3 linked regions of the Alligator mississippiensis genome follow. The protein of the gene in region 2 interacts with the protein of the main gene of each other region in a pairwise test. Links are inferred from orthologs where the notes say so. Each region holds a gene or a part of one and is shown on either strand. Other genes may lie near its edges.

Evidence for each region.
Region 1: the proteins of NCKIPSD (region 2) and STAC interact in binary tests that used the Homo sapiens proteins (3 or more experiments, as listed by UniProt). The link is inferred for Alligator mississippiensis from reciprocal best matches to the Homo sapiens genes NCKIPSD and STAC.
Region 3: the proteins of NCKIPSD (region 2) and PSMD9 interact in binary tests that used the Homo sapiens proteins (3 or more experiments, as listed by UniProt). The two-hybrid records come from large-scale screens. The link is inferred for Alligator mississippiensis from reciprocal best matches to the Homo sapiens genes NCKIPSD and PSMD9.

What each region holds. Positions count from the first base shown.
Region 1 is NC_081828.1:131,724,650-131,732,533, reverse strand, and holds the start of STAC (SH3 and cysteine-rich domain-containing protein), read left to right. Parts: upstream 1-4,846; 5' UTR 4,847-5,316; coding exon 5,317-5,433; intron 5,434-7,884. UniProt on the Homo sapiens protein: Promotes expression of the ion channel CACNA1H at the cell membrane, and thereby contributes to the regulation of channel activity.
Region 2 is NC_081835.1:20,265,347-20,273,156, forward strand, and holds the start of NCKIPSD (NCK-interacting protein with SH3 domain), read right to left. Parts: upstream 3,011-7,810; 5' UTR 2,947-3,010; coding exon 2,776-2,946; intron 2,301-2,775; exon of another isoform or gene 2,286-2,300; coding exon of another isoform or gene 2,259-2,285; intron 1-2,258. UniProt on the Homo sapiens protein: Has an important role in stress fiber formation induced by active diaphanous protein homolog 1 (DRF1). Induces microspike formation, in vivo. In vitro, stimulates N-WASP-induced ARP2/3 complex activation in the absence of CDC42.
Region 3 is NC_081833.1:2,812,622-2,820,603, reverse strand, and holds the start of PSMD9 (26S proteasome non-ATPase regulatory subunit 9), read right to left. Parts: upstream 3,039-7,982; 5' UTR 2,974-3,038; coding exon 2,872-2,973; intron 2,585-2,871; coding exon 2,482-2,584; intron 1,554-2,481; coding exon 1,360-1,553; intron 822-1,359; coding exon 720-821; intron 209-719; coding exon 120-208; intron 1-119. Other genes in the region: HPD (4-hydroxyphenylpyruvate dioxygenase), read left to right, coding at 6,078-6,080, 6,354-6,380, 7,574-7,636. UniProt on the Homo sapiens protein: Acts as a chaperone during the assembly of the 26S proteasome, specifically of the base subcomplex of the PA700/19S regulatory complex (RC).

The sequences.
Region 1 (7,884 bases), on a different chromosome or scaffold from region 2:
AAACAGCAAAATCGAAACAAAATGAAGGACTTTGAAACAGCCTTGAAATGAAATGAGGCCAGTCAAAATGTTTCAAAAGTTTTGAAATATTTTGAGTTTCAAAGCCGCAGCCAGGTGGCGGGAGGCAGGGGAGAGCCAGGGCTGTGCTCCCAGCGGCTCCACAGCCCCATGTAGCTCAGCCAGGCAGGAAGAGCAGCCCTGGCATTCCCCACCTCCCACCACAAGGCTGCACTCTGTGGGGCTGGCAGAATTGATGGAAGTGCACCGTTGACTCTGCCTGCCTCCCACCACCAGGCTGCACTCCCATTGGCTCGACCCACCCCATGGAGCCCAGCCCAGGGGCAGGAGATAGGCAGAGCCAGAGCTGCACCCTGCCTCCTGCCACTGGGCTGAGTTCCACGGGGCTGAACCACTGGGAGCTGAGCCTGGTGGAGGGAGGTGGAGTGCAGCACTGGGGCTGCACACTACCTCCCTCCACTGGGCAGCAAGCCACTAGGCGCTGAGCCCAGTGGAGGGAGGTGGTGCACAGCACCAGTGATGCATGCCGCCTCCCGCCACTGGGTAGTAAACCACTAGGCGCTGATCCTGGTGGAGTGGGGTGGAGTGCAGCCCCATTGCTGTGCGCCACCTCTCTCGAGCAGGCAGCAAGCCACTAGGCGCTGAGCCCAGTGGAGGGGTGGTGCACAGCCCCAGTGCTGCATGCTACCTCCCTGCACTGGACAGCAAGCCCTCCACCTAGCAGCTTGCTACCCAGTGGAAGGAGGCAGCATGCAGTACTGGCACTGCACACCACCCCCTCCACCAGGCTCAGTGCCTAGCAGCTTGCTGCTCAGTGGAGGGAGGCAGCGTGCACCCCCAGCACTGCATGCCAGCCCCCTCCACCGGGCTCAGCATCTAGCAGCTTGCTGTCCGGTGGAGGGAAGCTGGAGCTGTGCTCCAACTCCCTCCACCATGCTCAGTGCCTAGTGGTTTGCTGCCCAATGGAGGGAGGTGGTGTGCAGCACTGGGGCTACACTCCACCTCCCTCCACCAGGCTCAGCACCCAGCAGCTCTCAGCCCCATGGAACTGAGCCTGGTTGGGGGAAATGGAGTACAGCACTGGGGCTGTGCTCAACGTCCCTCCACTGAGCTCAGCTCCCAGTGGCAGCATCAACCTCCCACCAGCACCCCTAGGCAGTCTCTGCTGGACTCCTCCAGGGGGGTGGGCGAAACTTGAAACAGCATCAAAATAGCAAAACTGTTTTGACGAAACAAAATTGAACAGTGCTTTCGAAATGAAGTTAAACTCAAAACAAAACACTGTTCCATTGAAATAGAAGTCGAAGCGAAACAGTGCTGTTTTGCATAGCCCTAGTAAATATGCTACAATCACACCTTAACTTGCAGTGTTGATACACCCAAAAGTGGCTGAATTCATGAGCTGTGCATGTGAATGGCATAAAATAGGAACGGCGAGTCTGATTTTTTCAGCTACCCCAAGTTTAGCTTGAGTGCACCTGAGGAATGTTGGGAGAGAGACCGGTAGCTCCATGTCATCATCCCACGTCTTGGACCAGCAGTTGCTAAAGCATCTCAGGTGAAACGTTCTAGGACAGTCTGAGAACTGTTCCAAGCATTGTCAGCTGCGTCATCAAGACCTTTTCTGGTTCAGGATCAGGAGAACATAGGATATTGTACTGCACTGTACTGTCTGCAGGGGGTGAGTAGGCAGTGTAGAGCCATTTATGTCAGCTATTTACCATCTGCAGATCCCCTCATGAGGGCACAGCTTGGCTCAACTGTAGATAGTTTTACCCCACTCTGCACTGTTAAACAGCTGTAATTAGGGTTGAGAATTTGGCCTTATGTTTTATTCATTACCATTCCCTTCCCCACTCCAAAATCTATGCTCCTCTTTTCATTAAAGTATCTGCTCCTTTTTCTTTAATTTAGTGCCAAGTTGCTGTACTTCATGTTTTAGCCAAGAAACTTTACCTAGAGAGTGATCAGCATTAATCACAAAACCGACTTTTCAAGAATAAAGTGTGGGAGAGAAGGAAATGTAGGTTTGTTTAATTTGACCAATCTGTTTGGTTATGGTTTGCATTTAATTTTTGATATCCAGCTATTGAGGAAGGAAATAAAATGGCATTTTTAAGATTTCAGCTTTGAGTCATGTTTCCCAGGCTAATTGTCAAGTAACTGACAGATCAGTCATGGCTGACAAGTGAGTAATTGGAAGAAGAGAGGGAATGCAGCAGGTGTCAGTACTAATTTGGTAAAACAAAAAAAAACTTGAGTACAGAGAGTAGTATGATAGTCACTTACACAGTCATGACGTTACAAACTTTTCATACAAAATGTGTGCGGGATTTTACAATGCTGAAAGCATTAACCATTACTCAGACTTTTCAAAGGATCACAGGGTTGTTTTAGAGGAGAGCTGAAAGATCTGTTGTACAAGATGTGCCTGAGCTCCCTAATTATTAACAGGATCTAGGTAGGGGCTTAATAAATATGAGCTCGAAATACCCATGGAAGGAGGAAGGAATATCCTTATGGAGTTTTCCAACATTGTTCTGTTAGGCAAAGCTGCTTCGTTTTCTAAAATGTTTTCAAAGTCCATCTGAAAGCCAGCTGGAATCTGCAAGCAGTCATAACCATCTTCACAGAGGATGAGTGCCAGCTCCATCAGGCTAACATCTTCTTGAAAGGGTCTCTCACATTTGTCCCTGTCCCTTCTGTCTCCAGGTTTGACCAGTCCCTGCTTGATAACCCCTTCCTCTAACGTGCTTAAAGCTCTTCCCTTTCCTTGGTGAGATATTCTCTCTGTGAGATGTATGCCATGGCAAACCCAGACTCTTGGAGCCAGTGCAAGGATATTTAGAAATGTTCTGTCTGGCTCAAGAGAGGAACATTCTCAGATTTTAACATTCAAAAGTTTGTAAATCAGTTCCTACCCCACTTGTTGCCAAGTCAGCCATTCTGACATCTGTATTTCCTCAACTCAATCTTAGCTGACTAAACTAGGGGTTGGTGTGCTTCTTCTATTTTTTTTTTTTTTTTTTTTTGACAGCTGTAGCTCTCCTACCTGCTACCAGCGAAACAAAGAATTGTGTTGGCAGGTATGTAAAGTTGTGCTCTGAAGAGACTGTACAAAGCAGCATCCTGGTGTCCTATGCTTGTTGTCTGTTAAGGATTTCAGTATTGGATATGGTCCATTTTCAAGGAGGAAAGTTTCCCTCTGCTCCCCGTCCACCAACAACTCCATCCCTGAAAGCTCCCCTGAGAATTCAAAATCAAGGTCTGTTTTTTGGCTTGCCGGCTTTTGTGTCATTACAAAGGCATTAGAGTCTGCAGGCTAAATTCTGCCCTGACTTCCACTTGTAAAAATCCTATTATATGGTGGCTAGACAACTGGCTCAGTAGCCACAAGTCACAATTGGGTAATTTAAAATGGATCTGTGTAGTTCTAGTAATAAGTTAGGCAAGGATTTGTATGGGATGTTTTGGATAGGGATGATGCTGCCTCAGGCAGGAGGTAGGACTAGATGTTCTCCTGGGGTCCCTTCCGACCCCAGTTTTTTTATGCTTCTGTGATTCTCTTCCTATTCTGCCTTCATTTACACCTGCAGCCAACTTCAGTCAATTAACTGGAGGGACCTGCAGCAGAGCTTTGATTAACTATCCTGTTGCTGAGGCAAAGGCCAAAACAGAATTTGATTCACTCTTTCTAGCTACAGGACATGAAAGCAGTCAAAATGTTTTTGTGTCAAAGGCCAGCAGATACACCTTCAAGTGTACAGAGGTAACAGATCTGCTGAGTGCCTTCTTTACAATGTCACTTGTCAGAATACCATTACAGTTAAAAGGAGAAATTAACTTCAGCTAATGTTCTGATTCATATTTCAGGGTCATATATTTCCTTGATGTTGTGAAGGGTTGCGAACTGTGTTTAGCACACCTTGGAGGAGCTGAGTACGGGCAAATCCTAATGATTTTGTGGCACTTGAGCCTTCATGGGATCAAGCCTTAAAACAGTGTGAAAAGGGAGTGAGAAATGCATCCCACAATAACATGACAAACTGAAACAAAAATACCCGACTGAATCCCCTTTAAATAAAATGCCGCCAATTCTGTCCTATGTAGCAAGATTTGTGACTGCAAAGACAGAGGATGAAGTGTCAAATCATTTTGGAAATGCACTGGACCACATCCTCAGCAAGTGTATACCAGAAAGTCACTGACGCTACATTGATTTACAGTTACAGAGGATCTGGCCACTAGGTGTAAATTTTTGCTAAGCACTAACTCATTCTCCTTGTGTCACATGTGACAAACACTAGCCTCCACTGAGCAGAGAGGCTTCCCACTGCCTCACTGGACACCACCGTTTATTCACATATCCAGCATTATCACCGTGGCAACCTCTGGGTAGAGGCTTTGTGCATCTTGGATGCTTCATTCGACCTTTTAATAGCTGCTGCCATGCCTGATTCCATGTGCATCACTCAAAGATGCTCTTCTGCCTGCATCTTCAATGCACTTCCAGGTTGGGGTAATATCATGGAATGTGCTTTGTCCCCTGCTAGGGAGGTGTTGGGGAGAAATTTTTGTATTCTGAAAGTGCAGCATGGTTTGATCTTTAATGGTCATCTCTGGTGGGGACACAACTGTATTTTGTTCTTTTTCTCTGAACTTTATATCACACAAACACCCCAAGATGGATAGGAATATTGAGTGAACAGCTGCCCATCCTTAAGTGGTGCTGTGCTCCAAGATCCTCAGCCTAATTAAAAGGTAATAGAGGTCCCAAGCCACATGTGCTGCTGTATGCATTTGTGTGCATTACTTTCTTTCACTACTATGACAGCACATGCTCTTACAAAGCTATTCAAGGCATTAGAAATACAACTCCTCCCTCCAGTGCCCCATGTGTGTGAGCAGCTCAGGCTTTCTGCTTCAGCACACTGCCATTTGATCACTGGGCTGACAGTCACGACTCTGTTCTACACCTTCAGGCTTCACAGAGAAAAGGAGGACCAAGAAAAACACAGAAATAGGCACATAACTGACCTACAGAGCCATCAATAACTTAATTCCCTTGCAGCAGAATTACATAGGGGAAAGAGAGGAAAAGAGGGGAGGAGGAAAAGGAGGAGGAGGAGAAGAAAAAAAAAATCCAGAGAATTCTAGCCTTGCAAATATAGTCAAATTGAGAATGAGAGGAGTTCATTTGCTCTAGAAGAACAGGGAAGAAAGAACAGATTAAATAAACAAAACAGGAGAAGATTGTAGCTCCCTTCACGATAGCAGCAGTATTATTACAGAAGTAAAATGATTCCTCCGTGCAGCACTACTGAAGTCAGCGTGGATAGCGTGGAGAAAGAGAATGAACTGGAGAATACAGATCAGCCCCCCTCTCCAGCATCTACTACCAGCCAGGAATCAAAGGTATTTCATCTATGTGATACAAAAATGCACGTTATTTTCTTCTTTGCTGATGGTGTATGTTTTTAAGTTGGAATTCTGAATTGGGATTTGAAATAACAATTTGCTGTGGTTTGCTAACCTTAATAAGTATTTGTAGTAATGATTATGTTGCAGAATTCTTACCTTTTTACCTAGGCAGTTCAAGAGGTCAAACTGAAAAATACCTGTTTTTGAGATGTTGAGGGCTTTCTTATAAAGGAGGAAATCAGTTGTTAAATAATATATAACCATTTCCACACTTGGCATCAGAATGTTTAAAAGGTTTTCACTTATTCATGCTTGGAAAGACTGATTGAGTAGCAGGTTCAGTGAGGAGGTGAATTTTTTTTCTTTCCTAAGAGACCCTTCAGTGAACTTTGGCATTCACTGTTAAACAAGTCAGTAGTTGAAAAGGGGCTTAGGAAATCCTTTTGGCTAGGAATCTCTACTCATACCACAGATCATAGATTTTTTTCACCACCTTTTATCATTGACCTGGTTCAACTTACCCAGCTGAAAAGAGTCATCCAGTTCCACTTTCTGTGCTCTTACATTTTTAATTGACTCACACAAGAGAAGTTTTTCAGTCGACCTGTGTTTTGTTAGAAAAAGAGATGTGAATGTAACATGGTAGACTTACAAAACAGTAGTTTCAATATCTTTATTATTCACTAAACAGGCGAATATGATCCTAATAGTTATTTATTATTTGTACAGTTGGGGCACCTGGGAGCCCCAGTCATAGACCCTGACCCCATTAAGCTAGGCAGAACAAACTATAGCCCCTGCCCCAAGGAGCTTACAGCTAGATTGGGCATTTCAAAATGACCGTGTCTGTTTTCAGCTAATTAAGCAGCTAAGCTGGACCTTGCAGCCACATTTAAATTAGATGGCTCTTTCAGCCCATTAAGCAAAGAATATGACATCGTTCTGCAGTACCAATTACTAATCACTCTAGCAATTTCATAAAGCATAACGATAATGTTAATTTGAATATTTTTGGTGTACACCACTGAAGAGAACAAGGGATTCCCCTAAATAAATGAGTGCCATCAAAAAAAAGGGAAAGGCCCCCTGTATCTACAGTAAGAACTCAATGCTGTAGTAAGCTATCAAGCTTTGGAGCATCCCTGTAGAATGCAGTAGTGTTTTTATAGAAGAGGAGAAACGGGGTTATACAGTAAGCCTCTGTTCCCCAGAATATTTGCTTGGCAGGGGCTGAACAACCTAACTCACAGAGAAATCAGTGGGAGTTGAAAGCACCTCACAGGAATTGCGTGGAGCCAATCAAAGTGCTGGACGAATTCTGTGAGGTCCTGTGTTAAACATGTGAACTGCCACCAGGCCACTAGGACCAGATTGTCACATGCATTATATTGTGTGCTGGGCCCTGGCCATGGCTCCTTTCTGCAGTGAGATACTGTCCTCAAGCAGTGACATGCAAAGAGATATAAATCTTGAGGTTTCACTTTGTGTTTACAGCTGTGTGCAAGAGGCACTGAGTGAATGGGTCCCAGCAGCTTCATGACCAGCAAAAGCTGAATATTCATAACCTTAATATCAGAGAAAGCAAAAATCTTGCATACAAAATTATTTTCTTTTAGCCATCCATTCATAGCAGTCCTACCAATGCCAATGAAACTTAAGGACATCTGGCAAGACGGCATGATACTACTAAATGATTCACGACCTAACATTATTATCTTTGGCTTTGCTGGGCTCACATCTATGAGTACTTGAAGTGATATACTGGAACAAACGTCTGTGCAGTTTAGCAGCTGATGCTATTATTTGCATGTAAATACAGTGTACATATAATGTTTATAGCATATATAGTGTATGCTGGGGATTTAGGTATTATCAGAAATGACAGGGTATTCTCCTTTTATATTAAAAGCCAAGGAGGTTTCTGTTTGCTTGGCATGTTGTGTTAAGAATGTTTTAGCTTTAGTAAAGAAAGGAACAGTTGAATTCTCAGGTTTATAAGGATAACGTTTGTGTCACTTTTTATTGAAGAACACTTATACTTTTAAATCTATTCTGTGACCCCTCCATATTGACGGTTGCATGGGATCATTGACACTATGCACAATAACCACCTTAATATCAAACAGGGAATCCTCCAGCAGGTTAAAGACATCTAAGAAACATACATAGGACTGGAAGGGATATCTTGATTCAAGAAGTCTATGTCCCTATTGCAGGCAAAAATGATCTAGAATCTCATGAGGCCAAATTTCAGAAAATGAGTTTTAAGCTTGCATGCACAAAAACATGCTGAGGGGATGACAAGGAAGACATACTGGAGTACCTGACTAGCATGTGGTTGAGATTCACCACTTCAAGCAATGGGAGAAGTAGCTGAAATTCAAAAGGATCTATTAGGCAGGAAACAAATGGTGAAAAATCTGACTTCTAGCAATGAAGATTTGT
Region 2 (7,810 bases):
TACATTTAATTTGACTCATTTAATGGCAATGCTGTTTAAGATGCTAGCATTCAAGCATTTCTAAATGGAGGACAGCAGCCACCTTGAGACTTCATGGCCGAACACAGTTAGCATGAGAAGTTTAGATGAATACCTGGTACAGGATTGCATGTTCTTTGCAAAGAAGCCAAAGAACAGACTTCCCACTTGTATTAAAAATGAGCTGACTTGCATAAGATAAGAAAGTTTTACTAAGGTTGACAGCACCAGGGTGAATTCACTAGGTCTCTGCAAAGGTTTCCACTTTGATATTAATTTAATTGCCTTATTAAGAGTAACTTCAGATTCTTCTGGGAACCCTTATCAGGAAAGGAGAATAGCTTCTTTGGACTGAGACCGTTGAGACACGTTGTTTACCTGGCTGCACCAGTAATGAGTCTGCTGTCTTGTTTTTGCAATAGTGACTCCTGTTGAAAACATGCTCTCTTCCGCCACTCCAAATGCTCCATCACTAACCGTTAGTGGTGTTGTTCTTGCAGTGATCATGGCAACACTGATTACTGCTCCACACATTGTCACTAATTATTATTAATATCCTTATTAAACAGCAATGGGATAGCAGCTGTTTGCAGGCTCATCTGGATGCTGCAAGAGACTGTTTAAAGCAACATTTCAGTCAGATAATTTTTCCACCTCCCCCACAAGTCAGATCTACTTGGTTTTGTATGGAATAGCAAACCATGACTCCTGCCAGCTTTGAGAAGCGGATGGGAAAGCACCGAGGCAGTCAGTGCACATTGAGCACTGTAATAACTGCAGACCAGCACAATGAATTCTACTGCCTCATGTAGCATCAGCACAATCACCTGTCCAGAGCATTTATCGTCAAGAACAGAGGAAGCAGAAAAAGCCCAGATTTATTTCCTACTAAAAGGATTAAAGGACGATTAAGAAAAATGTATTTCAGCTAAAGGAGAAGGAACATGAATCCCAGAATCCTTTACTACAGTCAATTTTTTGTCATAAGCCTACGTTATGATGCTTAATATTAATCAAGTGTTACTTTACCCCCAATACTGTATTGTGTTGCAACTGCAAATTATGGTCTGAAAATGCATTGCAGGAAGAACTGGAAGGGACAGAAGGGAAGAGGAGGGAGATGTTTTCAAATGACATTTTCAGCTAGAGTAGTAGCTAGGCAGATAAATATAGGAAGGTCCTAAAGGCAAAAGCTACAGCAGAGAAGGTTTTCTCCACCAAGAATGATAAGCCCACAAGGAGGGAGAGTGCAGACATCAGTACCAGAGGTGCAGATGAAAGGACTGCAGAGAGAAATTCAGGCACATATCCAGAGCAAGTCCACATTTGATTTTAAAAACCTACCCTTTTCAATTAGGGCTTTTGTTATTAAACACCTTAAGCCCTCATTCTACAGCAATTACATGCAAGTCAGCCCACTGATGCCAGACTGTTCTCTTGCACAAAGCTTGAAGGACAGGGTTCTTATTTGAGAACAAAGGTTGTCAGAATAAGAAGCCTGTACAGTTAATAAATAGGCCACAGCAGACTGACACTGTGATGCACCACCAGAGAAGACAGTGTCCTTCCTGCAACACCGAGTGTTCTGAAAGAAATTCAGTCACACCATTTACAAACAGACCATTCAACCAGAAGACTGGAGACATCTGAAGGAGATCTTCCATGCGCCAGAATAAAAACATTTGTTGAAACTCTGGCATATACTTTCTCAGAGACTCCCAAACAGAGAGGCTCACAACATTTGTGCATACTTCTGTGCACGAGTTACCTATCCTGCTTATGGAAGAGGGGGGCAGGGGGCTCCGCCCGCTGATATGGTAGATGCCATTTCAAACCATGGCACTGGGAGAATCATAATCTCAATGCAGCCTAAAAACATAACTTTGTTTTGTGTATATTTCAGAATCTAGGTTCTCCCCTGAAACACAGCCGCGCATCACGCAAGCAGGCTAAAAGCTTTATTTTCTTCCAACTCGGTCATAAAGGTAGGGTTCATTCTTGCAGTTGCGACGGCTGAGTGCGCCCTCCTCGCTCTGACTCCTCTGAGGAGCGCAGCGGTTGGTTCCGACTTGGTGTAATGACAGATGCTGCCAACCCCTCTATAATTGTTGTTGCTGCTGTCACAGCTGGTGCTTCTGGCCTTAGCGCTGGGACAGGCCTGTTATTACACCCGCTGTGTTATTCTCAACATGAGAAGAACGGGTGCGATTAGTGCTTGTCCCCCAAGCTTCCTTGCTTACCGCCAACAATGCAGATGGAGCTGTCATGAGCCGGGGACACCCCGGCCATCCACGGAGCCACGGCTCCAGCACAGGGGTTCAATGTCCACCACAGCGAAGGGGCAACCCCAACCAACCGCCCACACGCAGGCAACAGCCGAGAAGGCCCCACAACATCTACCACCTCCCCCCTTCTCCTCCTACCCCTCAGTCCCGCCCGGCCCCACGGGCAGGGAGCAAGTGCATGACCCCCCCGGAGACTGGAGCTGCCTGACCCCTGACCTCCAAAGTCAAGGGTCAGCCCTCTCCCCAGGCCATGGCCTCGCACCTGCCCCAGCCCAGCATGCAGCTCCACCCCCCCATGACCCCTGACCTCAGCCCAGCCCAAAACGAGGCCCCACCACCCCATGAGACCCCTGCCCCCACATAACCCCAGCCAACCCAAAACGAGGCCCTGCCACCCCCACGTGCTCCCTGCCCCCGCGTGACCTTTGCGCGCTGACCTCAGCCCCGCCCCCGCGTGCCCTTTGCCCCCGACCTGGATGCGCTGTAGGTAGGAGGCGGGCGCGTAGCCCGTCTCGCCGGAGCCCGCGCGCGTCACGAGCCACCAGTGCTGGTTGCTGCGCTCGAGCAGCAGGAAGGTCTCGCCGGCGGCGAACGGCAGCGAGTTGGGCTCGGCCGAGCGGAAACCGTACAGCGCGCGGTACATGGCGATGGCTGCGGCGGCAGCAGCCGGGCCGGGGCCTGCCCGCGCCGCCGATGTCAACACGCCCGCCCCCAACGCGTCACCCCAACGTCACCGCGCAGCCCCGCCCCCGCGCCCGCACCCGGCTTAGGCCCGCGCGCCCTCTGCTGGGCCAGGTCGGATGCGGATAGGGCGCATGCGCACATGGCTCCTGTGGATGGGGGGGGTCTGGCAGGAGGGCGCATGCGCCGAGGCCCCTGTAGAGTCTTCGGGGCTCAGAACTGGTGTCCCGCCTGCAGCGCTCTCCCCCCGCTCCGAGCTAGCACATCTTGGCTGGGAGCTGGGGCCAGGTTGGAGCAGCCTCTGGGCAAGGAGGTAGTAAGGACAGTGCAGTTACCCCCCCCAGGGTTGCCAACCCTCCAGGATTGCCCTGGAATCTCCAGGAATTAGATATAAATCTCCAGGAGGTTACTGAGAGCCACCCAGGAGATAAATGATAGGGCATTCATTACAATAAATGACTAAATGTTGAATCTGATTTATACAGTAGGCCAGTGGGTTTTTTTTTTTTAATGTAATAGGTATGTGCATGTGCCTTCCAGATGTAAAAGTTATTAATGTCGTTACATCACATGATGAAACCTGCTAGAATAGATTCAAAGAGGACTGGCCACCCTACTCCCTGCTGCAGTCACAACCACCCCAGCCAGGCCTAACCTTGACCTATGCAGCAATGACGTAGGTTAAGCATGTGCTGTAGGCAGTGATTGAAAAGGTGCATGGACATAAAGTGGAAAAGGATTGGCCTAGCCCTAAAGCATAGTCAAATGCAGAAAAACTCTGCATTAAGTGTATACGCAGCTATGCAACTTCAGACTTCTCCACAGCTCAGCAAAAAAAAAGAGGAACCAAATCAGCAAATGTCCCCAGGGAAACAGAGAAGCTGGCCAGTGGACCTCTTTTCCACTTGAATCCAAGGCTACTGTATTAAGCACGGTCTTCATTAATACAAGTCTTTGTTATTGTGTATCCATAAAATTTTTGAGTTGTGACTGGAATAGTCTCACTGGTCAGTCTCATTCTCAACCCCAGTTAAAATTTAGAGTAACAGTTTGGCTTCGCTCTTCCCTCACAGCCCATCATTCAAACCGTGCTGAGGGAAAGAATTGTTCCTCTGCCCCAATGCTTTTCCATGGCACTCAGCCTTGTAGTTGCAGATGCTTTGCATGCAATAACTTGTATTTTTGGGGCCCCTTGTGAGAGCCTCTTGTCCTCCCCATGAGAAACTGAGATGCAGAGACAGAGCAGGAACAGTATCCTCAGTTCTTCTATGCACGTCAGCATTTGGGGACAAACAGGACCATGCAGTTAGGGAGCACCTGATAAACTCAGGTTTCTGCAACTTAGTATCACACAGCAGCTTGGGCAGTGGCAAGATGAATCCAGTTCCGTGGGCAGCATTCAACTGGCTTAAGCATCAAACCATCCTTTCCTACACCCCTGCTTTATTTGCCTTCCCCCTCCTGCAACCAGTGAGCCAGGAGTCCTGAAAATAACAGCCAGCACTGCAAACCCCACTGACTCACCCCCAGGACAGGTTCACCTCATGCACTGACAGAGGCAGGCAATTAAAGGCCATACAATAATGCACAAATCCAAATAGGCTAAATAAGAATTGCACAGGCAACCATCCTTCTGGCATGGCCCACCTTTGGAGTGCTCAATTTAATGATGTTCATAAGCTTGTGTGTGTCATTTCCAAGACTTCAAAAAGCAAAGTGGAAAGAAACTCCAGCACATGACTCCATGTGACACATGTCATACTGGCACAGGGGCTGGAATCTGAAGATCCAGCACACACAGATCTCCTAGCTGAGCTCCTCCAAGTAAACCACAGCTAGAGAGGGATGAGACACTTTGCCAGAAACTTGCTGGCAGCAGAGGACTGGTGTGACTCAGGAATCTTGGTGCCCTTTTAGGATTCAGGGGAAGTGCACTCAAGTGGTTCAGCTGTCTGTGTCCCCAAAGCCTGACCACCATTTCCAATTATGTCACTGTCCCAGTCCCACCCCTAACCTTTTCAATCCCAACCCATTCTCATCCAGCCAGGCCCCTCTCACTGCAGTCTCAGTCTCCTTCCCTTGCATATCCTAGTCTTCCCTTTCCTGATTCCCACTCTCCCCCTTGCTCCCAGGACCCATCTTCATGCAGAGTACTTCCCAGTCTCCTTGCCCACCTGAGCCCTCCTGCATCTGTATCGGAGCTGCCTCTCCCCTGACCCACTTCCAGTTGCTCCCCACTCCTGTCCATTGTCTCCACCTCTGCTGAAGGCTCTTTATCTAACTTCAGCATTCCCACAAAGGCCTCTGGGTCATGTGCCAGCCTCTCTCCCTGGCTGGTCCCAGTTCTCCCCTGTACACCAGCGTTTCACGAGATCTCTCTCCTATCACCTTCTTCCCTATTTTCTCATTCACTGGATCTCAGTTTCTCTCTCTGCCCAGACAGTCCCCAGCTCCTCATCTCAGTCATGCCCCTACCTCCTCCCATTTCCATCACCACACCAACACCCAGTCTGACTGTCCATTCAGCCCCTACCAGCTCCTCAGCTCAGACTTCCTGCTGCTCCCATTTCCAGTCTGACCAGTTCTGGTCTCCCCAAAAAATGCCAAGTCCCATTCCCCCCCACCCCAGGCTCCAGTCCCTGTTTCTCTCTCCAAACCTACTCTTAACATCCCCCGCACCCCAAAGCTCATCTCTTATTTGCAGCTTGTTCCTGTGCATTGCCTAGGCCCAGTCAGGAAACTCTGAGATTACAAGACAAATGAACTGCTTGCTCTCAAGTCCTGTGACCAGACACAGCACAGCCCATGGCTGCAAAGAAAGGAAAAGACCTGCTTAGTGCCCAGCTGAAGCATGGCTGTTGTAGACAGTCTCTTCAGGGAATTTGGTTGTGTAGCCTAAGTAAGTCTACTGACCATGGTGATTTTTCATAGGCTTATAACTTGACCATGGATGGATCTGCATGGGGATGGGAAGAGAGACATCCCTGATATGGAGACCACTCCATTCGAAAGTTGAAGTACCTGCTCCAACCTGGTGCTGTGAAGGCTCCAGAACAGGTTGCCAGAATGTTGTCATATGGTCCAAATAATGTATTTTCCCCCAGCCTCGTTCATGAATACAGCTGGGGAAAAATATCAGCATGAAGTAGATGCTTAACAAAGAAAATTACAGCCCAAATGGCTAAAATCTGGCAAAGCTATACACACCTGAACACCGAGCCTTAAAATAGCAACCTGCCTTGCCTACAACAATCTTCAGAGGAGACAGATCAGGACCATCTCTGTCCCCAGCCTGATAACAAAAGAACAAGGACAGCAGATAGCACTGAAAGGCAGTATATTCCAAGGTGATAAAAGGAAAGTTTTCTTTGTGTGGTGCAACATTGGACTGCAGAACTCGTTGTGGCAAAACCACCATCGTATCAGGAGTCAGAGAGCAGCTGGATGTTTTCATGGACAGAAAAGATACCCAGAGGTTCCCAGAATTAACACTGAAATAAAGTTTAAAAGGGAGATGATATCTCTTGCTTGGGGGTGCCCTACAGAAGGAGATTCTCTGGGGGGACAGACTGCCCTATATTTGGGTACTGCAGGGTTTCTCATACCTTCTTCTGATACCTGGTGCTGCCTGTGGCTGGAGACTGGCCTGTTTGTTATGCAGGTAATCACAAGCCTCCTTCAGTGGTTAGAGGGAGGCCACTGACAACATACATAACAATTGAATACTTGGGACAAAGGATGAAAAGATAGGAACAGGTCAAAGGATAAGAACAAGTGTTCCAGGTAGGGACATGGGGCAGAGAACACCAGCTAGCACCCACTGCCCCTCAAACATATCTAAGCAGTCTGTGGATGCTGCCTAGTGAAAATATCCAGAAATGTGCACAGACAAGGGAAAGAAACACCACCCTACAGTCACCTGGGTCCCCCCCCCCCCCCCCCTTTCCTTGTCTGGCAGATAGTAGATGAATTATTTGCCAGGGCTTGGGGAGGTAGACAAGAAGGTCCTGGGACTTGGTGGGGTGACGTATGGACAGAGTTAGGATCCTGGGAGGTGGGCTTTTAGCCAGCATGGCAATTCCCAGACTCTGAAGTCAGAGCGGGCCGCTGCCAGGTGCACTTTGTCAGCAGCATTGCACAACATGGCAGGAACCCCATCGTTCCATGACAGGATGAATGGCCACAACATCATGCAAGTGCCACGTTGTTCACAGAGCAGCAACGCTTAGCAAACAATGCAAGGAGCCAAGGGATGGTACAGGGCCCTGAGCAAATACCCAGCAGAGGGCAGCAATGCTTCATGAAACATGCACACACGAGCACAGGCTTCACTGTTTCCTGTACAAATATTTTGAGGATGCCATGAGCCCAATTCTGCTCTCAGATTGATGCAACAATGGTATGGACAGCTCAGCGTGACACTGAGACGGCCCAGGGAAGCTATGCACCTCCGTCCCGCTGGACTTACTCCTTGTATCATGACCATTTCTTCCTTTTCATTGTTGCGATACTGCCTGATACAGGGAGGTAACCTGGCTGGTGGAGCAGCCTTCAATAGGTCCCCCCAGGTCACTTCACCAGCCAGCCTAGCCAGAGCACTGTGCTGCCAGGGCATCCCACCAGCATGCAGTGCAGGGGCAGTGCAGAGGAGCAGAAGGGCTGTTCCAAGTGGAGACGGAGTTACAGGACACAAATTTGGCAGCCCCACCACTGGAGGGGCCCAAGATGGCAGAGGGGAAAAGAAGCATCTTCACATTGGCAAACAGGGTCTAAAGGGAAAAAATAGGCAAAGGAGCCTATTTCTGCACAGAAAATAGAGGCTGTGA
Region 3 (7,982 bases), on a different chromosome or scaffold from region 2:
AGTGCTTTAAGGCAGGCCCAGGCTCCATTCAGATTCCCAGTGGGATTCTCCAGTGTAAGGCGGGCCAACGTCATATGAGAGCAGATGGACAAAGCTGCAGAAAGTACTGGGAAGCTTACCCCAGGAGGCCTTTCCCTGCCCAGCGCTTTGGTGTAAGCCCAAGGTGGACTTTCTCGCCTCCACGGATCACGCTCACACTCAGGGGTTTCTGAAACAAACAAACAGATGAATGGCACCTTTTCCCATCAAGTTGGCTCAGTTCTTTTGTTTGCCTGGCTGCATAGGAGCCAGAGAGCTACCGCACGTGTAACACTGAACCTCTAGCTACAGGGGGGATGTAGGACTGCAGGGAAGTTTCCTAAGTAGAGCATGTCCATGAATACTAGTGAAGTAACATGCTGTCACTCAGCACAGGCTCCTGTGAGAACAAAAAACAAGACCTCTAAAGAGAACGTCTCAAATGTTCAGCACGGGGAGCTTCCATTAGAGGCAACACCTGATGCCTTCACATTACTGCCAGCTCCATCAGTCCAGGAAAGAGAGAAGTTAAGTGTGAGCTCTCTCGCACTGAAGGACCTGGGGGTGGCACGTGATGAAACCAACAGTCAAGCCCAGAAGCTGACACGCAGTGTCTGGAGCAGAGACGTGGGACTATTGAACTCTGCTAAGTATCACTAGAGAAAAGCCCATCAGACCAGAGAAGCCAGAAACCTGCTCACCCCTTCGCTGTGCTGCACAACGGTGGCGATGTTCTGCAGAGTCTGGAAGTTGTGCGCCTTGACAGAGCCAAACTCAACGATCTCATCGTCGACCTGTAATCCCTTTAGAGAGAGAAAGCAGGAGACTAAGAATCTTCCTCCTCAAAGGACACACGGTGCTTAGGGTTTGTGGCGCATCTCTCACCCAAAGCACTAGTCAGCGCTCCCTTCAAGGATCTTAAGACACTTCTCAACATGTGAGCCACGCAAACCCACAGTGAGATAAGGCAGTATTATTTTTTTTATCCTCGTCACGGAGATAAGGAATCTAAGGCATACAGCCTTATCCAAAGCCATTAGCATGTCAGTGGTGCAGCTGGGAGCAGTACAGGTCTTCTGATGCCAGCCCCACGTGCACTTCCCTCACTGGATGCTCCCCCCTGCAAGGTGCTATAAATGTTATTTCACTCTGCAAAGGCTGACATGAAACATTATGCCCCTGGGGGAAAGGTACCAAGCACCTAACAAGAAGTAGGACGAAGAACAGTAGCTCAAACCCTGGCCCTGACTGCAGGTGGGTGGCGACGACCACCGGCCATCTCTGGGGCAGAACAGGGTCCACGGGTGTTTGCTCCCCGGGCAGGAAGAACACTGGACTTGCCGCGAGGCTGGCAGGAGATCCCGGCGTGACAGCGTTCACTCTGGCGAAGGGCTGAGGCAGGCTCTGGTTCTGACTCACTGCCTCGGCTTGTGCCTCTGCCTCGTCCCTGGCACGCTTCTCCTTCTCCCGAGCATGCAGCTGGTGGAGCGCTTCTTCCACCTGCCTCATCACGGCCTTGTGATCATTCTGCAGACCTGGGCGGAGGGAGGTTGTCTCAGAGATGGGAGGAACGAGCACACAGCGTTCCCGCACGAGATGTATTGCCCTGTGGGAATCAGCGCGTGCTCCCCACTACGCTACCAGGTCTGCTATGGCAGGGCAGCTCCAGACTATAAACACAGTCACCACCGAACGCTGCCCTGCGTACAGACTGACAGCTGTTTCGTGGGCCTGCTCACAACCAGTGGCCACACCGCGTGCACAAACAGGGCTCCTTATGAATTAACGTCAATCTCACGCAGGGACAGCCGTGTTATAACAGCGGTAACAACACCTAGAGGTGGATAAACCCTTAGAAGAGAATGAGAGCTGGAGAGATCAACAGCAACGTAAAAAAAATTAAAGCGACCAAACTCCCTTTCCACCAAAGTATTTTCACACAGGGACCGGTTCATCGTAAATCCGTCACCAGGATTCGTTCGAAGGAGACATCACCTAGTTTTCGGCCCCATGTTTGTTGCGTGCATAAGAGATATGACTATTATTTTTATTTATTAAACACAAGGTTTGTTCACAGAACGAGGCGCGTCGCAACCGCTCTGCACGCCGCCTGTTCATGCAAACGGTGTCGCTCACCGACTGCTGCCCTGCCCTGCCCCCTCGTCCCAAACCCGGTTACAAACACACCTCGAACTCGACTCCTCGTCGTTTCTTTATACTCCGAATCGAGCTGCACGCAAAGGGCAAACCACGGCCCCGAGCGCCGCGTCCTCGGGGGGCTGCCACCTTGTTCATCTTAATACCTGAACCTGGGGCTCTAGGGACTCGCGCCCTCCGCACGGCCCGAGTCTGCAGACGTCGTACGTGACTACGTCTATTCGCCGTTGCCCCGGGGGACGCCGACACGAGCCCGTGCCGTTCACCGGGGCCCCGAGCGCGCTCCGCGACCACCGAGCTGCTTACAGATAATGTTGTGCCGCGCCGTGCGCACTTGGTACAGGTCGACGTCTGCCCGCGGGTATCCTTCCGCGTCCACCAGCGGCTCGCTCATCCCGACGCCCTTCTGCTGCAAGGGAGACACGTGGTCGCGCGGCGCCCGGTGCCTGCCCGACGTCACCTTTCGGGGCTCGGCCAGCGCCCGTGTCACACCCCGCCCCCACCCCCCGCACGCACGCGCACACACACACACACACACACAACCCACCCCCCGCAGACACACACTCAGGCACACCCCCACAGGCACGTGCGCACACACACGTGTCCCTGTTACACTCAGCCACATGCACAACCGCTACACACCCCCCCCCCCCACTACACACTCACGCACGCGCACTTGGCCCGGCGCACACTCACGTCCTCCAGGAGCTCGTAGCAGGCCCGAATCTGCGCCTCGATCTCGTCCTTCCTGCGCACCAGGCACTGCACGTCGTGGGCGCTCACGGCCGGCTCCGCCATGGCCGCTGTACTGCGCTGCGCGGCGCCGTGGAGGGGGCGGGGCGACGGCGGGCCGAGCAGGACAAACCGCGCGTCACAGTAAACAACAACGCGGAAGGGGCGGGGCCGGCGGGAGGGGGGGCGGTGACGGTGGCCGGGGCAGGACAAACCTAACGTCGCAGTCAACAACGCGGAAGGGGCGGGGCGGGGCGGGGCGGGGCTGCAGAGCACGTGCGCCGGGCGCCAGGCCCTGCAGGGAGGGGCGGGGTTGCACCTCAGAGGCTGACTCGGTCAGCGCAGCTCCCTCACCCGTGCCCCGCAGGGGGATGGGCTGCCTGCCACCAGCACCAAGGGGCCCGGCTTTGGGGCGTCACCCCGGAGGGCCTGGGGCGACGCCTCGCTTACAGCACGCGGGGGAGAAAACCCCGTACTGTACCGAGGTCGCACCGTGCGCCTACCCGGCCCGGTTACACGTGGGTGCGCCCCGTGCGGCGAAGCAGAGCTGGCGTGGACGAGGCGCGTTCACAATGTCTCTGCCCCGCGGCGCCGTCGGGACCCGCGCGCCACTCCTTCCAAGCTGGACCGACGCGGCGCCGGCCCTCCCAGCGCGTCCCTGAGCCAGCGCGGAGCGAGCTTATTGCAATAATGAGGCATCGGGCAAAGATCGTGCTTTCGGTTGCGCCCGTGCAACCTTCACCCCTGCCCACTCCCAGCTATACGGAGGAGGCGCAGCTGGGCAAAATGCGGCCCAGGGGCCAGATCCGCCCCGCCAGGCCGTTCTGTCCGGCCCGCGGGGCCCCTGACACATTTAGAAAATTAATATTTATTTGCTCTTGGCTGCCTGTCAAAGATGACAGGAGACGGGGGCAGCAGGACCCAGGGGAAGCCGGCAGCAGGACCCAGAAGCACCTGCTTCTGGCCTGGGACCGTGGGGCTGTTCCTGCTTCCCTACGCCGGGGAGGGAAATGTGTCCCTCGACAGCTTGCCAAACCTCGCTAAGCAGCCCTCCACCGAAATAATTGCTCACCCCTTGTCCAAGGACAGAGGCAGGCAGGCTAGGTTCTTTGGGTAGATGTGATCTCTTTTATTAGACCAACTGAGTAGCTGGAAAAAAGTTCGTTGCACACTTTCAGTAGAGACTCCCTGTGCCTGACAAAGGGTGACTGCGCCCGAAAGCTTGCAAAGACCAACAATTCAGTTGGTTTAATAAAAGATATCCGGTCGACCCAAAGAACCGTGCTTGCCAGTCGTGACAACGGTGTTCAAATTCAGCGGTGGTTTGCAAGGCCGTGCAGCCTGGAGAGGCGAAGCCAGGAGTAATTTTGCTGCGGGTCCCAGTGAGCTGGGGTCGTCACAGGTACTGTAGTAAAAAAGACGTTAAGGCTCCCCGATTTTGCAATAACGCTTGAGCAGCAATTATGTGATAGAAGTGTCTTATGACCATCTTATGACCCTTGTGCAAGGTCATAAGGTCTAACGCCTAAGCTGTGGTCTGCTGTTCTTACTGCTTGCCTTGCATCTTTAAATTATCCCTGCCCAATGCCCTAAGGTTATGCTAAGATAAGAGGTTACTAAAGTTTGCTAACTTTGCCACAGTTCCCCTTTCCCTCTGCGCATGCGACAAAAGATTTCGCTGCAGTTCTGCTTTTTGAGTGTGCATGCACTAACCCTGATAAGTCACACTAACCAATAACAAGTTAAGTGCAGCCTACAAGACAAGACGTAACAATTAGGAAATGGTAATGCTGCCAATAAACATCTAACACGTTAAAACTCTATGTTCAATGTAAGCTGTAAAAATGTAATTCCGGGCCGGACTAGTCGTCGACTCTGATTTGAGCTCAGCTCCTGGGTCGAACTGTTTGCAAACAATAAATCTGAGATGGACCCAGCCTGTGTGTGTGTGACTCTCTCCTTGAGGACAATTGGACAAGCCTCCAGGGGAATGAAACTAGCCGTTTGGGCAACAGTACTTCGGTGAGTATTCTGGCTGTGCAAAGCAACCCGGGGCTGAAAGGCGCTTTCCCAGGACTGGCTTCCTGACCCATCCCGGAAAATTTGAAAGTCTTTCTGTAACAAGCACCTGTCTGCGTGGTACTGCCAGTGTTGTCTCCAAAGGACAGTGTGAGTTCGTGCCCGGTGCGCTTTTGCCAATAAACACACAGGGGTGGAGGATCCAACTTAATCTTTATTGTTTCAAGTCTGCGCAGAGAGGGGTGCTTGGCGATCGTTCGCAAAACAAGCGCACCGGTTTCTACCTCTGGATACCTTTTATACATGTTTGCAAGTGTATCGCTCAGTGATTGGTTACAAGCCACTGACATAAGACGTTCTCTATTGAGCATGTCTCTATACCTATGGTTTAGCCATGTATTTCATTTACATACATATATGTTTCATTAACATACTTTTGCTCTGCCCAGGGGTGTGATTTTTAGCATTATAATGAGACCTTTTTCTGAACTTCTTGCTATCTTACAGGTGTCAGGGAGACATTATCCTGCTGGTGTTAGGGAGGCCTTCCAGGAATCCTCCGCATCCCACACGCTGTGCTCTGCAAGCATCTCTTAACACACACGTACCACACCCCTCCCAGCACCAGTAAGTTGCCTTAAGTATTCAGTTAGATATCATTTGCAAAAGCTAGATATACCATCAAAAAGATTACATAAAAAGATTACATCACCAGCATGCTGTTTGAAGGAGATGGTACCCACTACCGACGCGCCTGGGCCACAGTCTGATCTTAGCGAAGTCGGGTGTCAACCCAGAGTATGGGGGGCTGGTTCACACGGCCGTGAGGTCAGAATCGGTTCGTAGTATGCTTTGCTTGGGTTGACGTGGCTAGGGGTTCTGGTCTTGCATTTGATAAACAGCCTCTCCTCTTGCTTTTCAGATAAATACGGGTCCTTTCACCTCCAGGGTCAGTGTTATCGAACTCCCCCCACTCCCAAGGGCAGAATGACTACGGTCCAAACCAAGTAAATAATTTGGTTTAAAATGTTTCAGATTACGAGCTGGGGAAGGTGGAGCCAGGGAGGGGCTTTCGCTCACCCTGCAGATATATTGAATGCATTTGGAGTTGCACTTTCTCTTGGTGCTATCATACCAATCAACTTCCAAAAATGGTGAGACTTAGCAATTATTCAGTTTTCAATTTTGCCATTAATGTACTATGGAGGAAGATCAGTGCATCTTCAGCTGTATTTGTACATCTTGTATTCTGTGAATTTACTGATATATTTTTTTATACTTGGAAAAATTAGACTTTTTTAATCAGCATGTGGAACACAATGCGGGAAACTTGCTTTCTCTAAACTCAGCAGGGAATTTAATATTTGGAGAATGAATTTGCATTTGTTAAATGCTAACATGTATGTATACGTATTCTCTCTCTTTAGACAACGTACACAGACAAAGGAAAAAAGGTAAGAATACAGCTGCATGGACTAGGTTTCCTTCCAAAAGAATTTCTGGCACTATTAATGCTGGACTGATTGTATTAATTTATTACTAATTGATTGCTGGGTGGAATTGAAAGCAACAATGGGCTCTGATCATATAATGTTGCAGTAGGACTTAGGTTCATAACTTCTGCTCTCCATAAATCACAATTAATTACACACACGTTTTTCCTCACTGTTTAGGAGTGAGGAGGAAGAAAGGATGATTAATTAAAATCCAACCCTTCCATGCCTAACCATAAGCAGGACTTGTTGCAATACTTCTCTCTAAATGCTATAAATGTATATTTAAATAGTTTTAAGACCTGAAATAACTTTCTGAAACTAGTGATGCATACACCAGAGTTACAGTTAATTGTTAAATACCATTCTATACAGCACGACTTTTCTTTATATATTATCTTTCCTGCAAACTACACCCACTAAACATGAACAGTGTTAAAAATGATGAGACAGGAGATGGCAGATGTCAAATTCCAGGCAAGGAAGAATAGCTGATGCTCAGCTAACGTTAAGAAATACTGCAAAGAGGTTTGTTAACGTCTCCTTTTTGAGCATGGGTTTTGTCACCTCTGATTTGGCTTCCCATTCGCAGTTGGGTAAGAGCTTTCCTGGAGGAGAATTAATCTTTAACGTGAGGTTAACAAAACCACACTGGATCCAAACAATGGTGGAGGTTGCGCGTAGAGCAGGACAAGTCCTGTTGCTGTTACTGTCTGGTATCCTGCTCCAGTCCAAGAACTGAGAGCAGAGCTCGACTCTCCAGTTGCTCCATTTGCTGCCTTCCCTGACCCAGATGACTCGGACTTGTTCTGTGCGGGGCTTAGGAAGGGAGAATAATTGCTTTGCTTGTTCTGGGGGTCAACTCCCAGTACGGCTTCCCAGCCCCCCCAAAAGTCCCTCTGACTAGAAGTCATGGAAAAAAGCCTTGCTCCTCAGTGGTGACATCCAGACATTTTTTGTATAGACTATAAAACCCCGCGCTCAAATTTGCCGAGGAGTTAATTAACTTAGGGTGAACGAGAAATGCACAACTCTGCCACACGTCTGTAACGGAGCCCATCCATCACGTCTTGCTAAAGCAGAAACAGCCTCAGCCTTAAAGTGGGGTTTTATGGCATTGAAGTATGGCCCAGTCACCAGAATTTTTGTTTCAGCCTGAAAGGGGCAGATTCCTCCACTTTCACTCGATCACGTTCTGGGTTGGAAATGCCAAGCAGGTACGTAGAGACAACTCGCTTGTTTGCATGTGCTGCACCCCACTTGCACAGTCATTGTTTGAAGAGCAGGGGTATGGCGTAGTTGGCGTTCGCTATTGGCTGTCAGGAGGGGAGGATCTGGCATGTGGTGTCGGGACGGTCCCGGGGACGTGTTTTCAATTAAAATCCCATCACTGACTGGCTGGGATGATCCTGAGCAGATGGAAGCGTTTCAGCACTTGCCCCGAGTGGAATGTTCTCCTCGGATGGTCTTTGCACCACCGTTGTGCAACAGGGGGGAGTGGGCTGCTCATCTTGCAGCGGGGAGCCGACGGGTATGTTTGTGTGTGCAGGTTTCTCCAGTCGT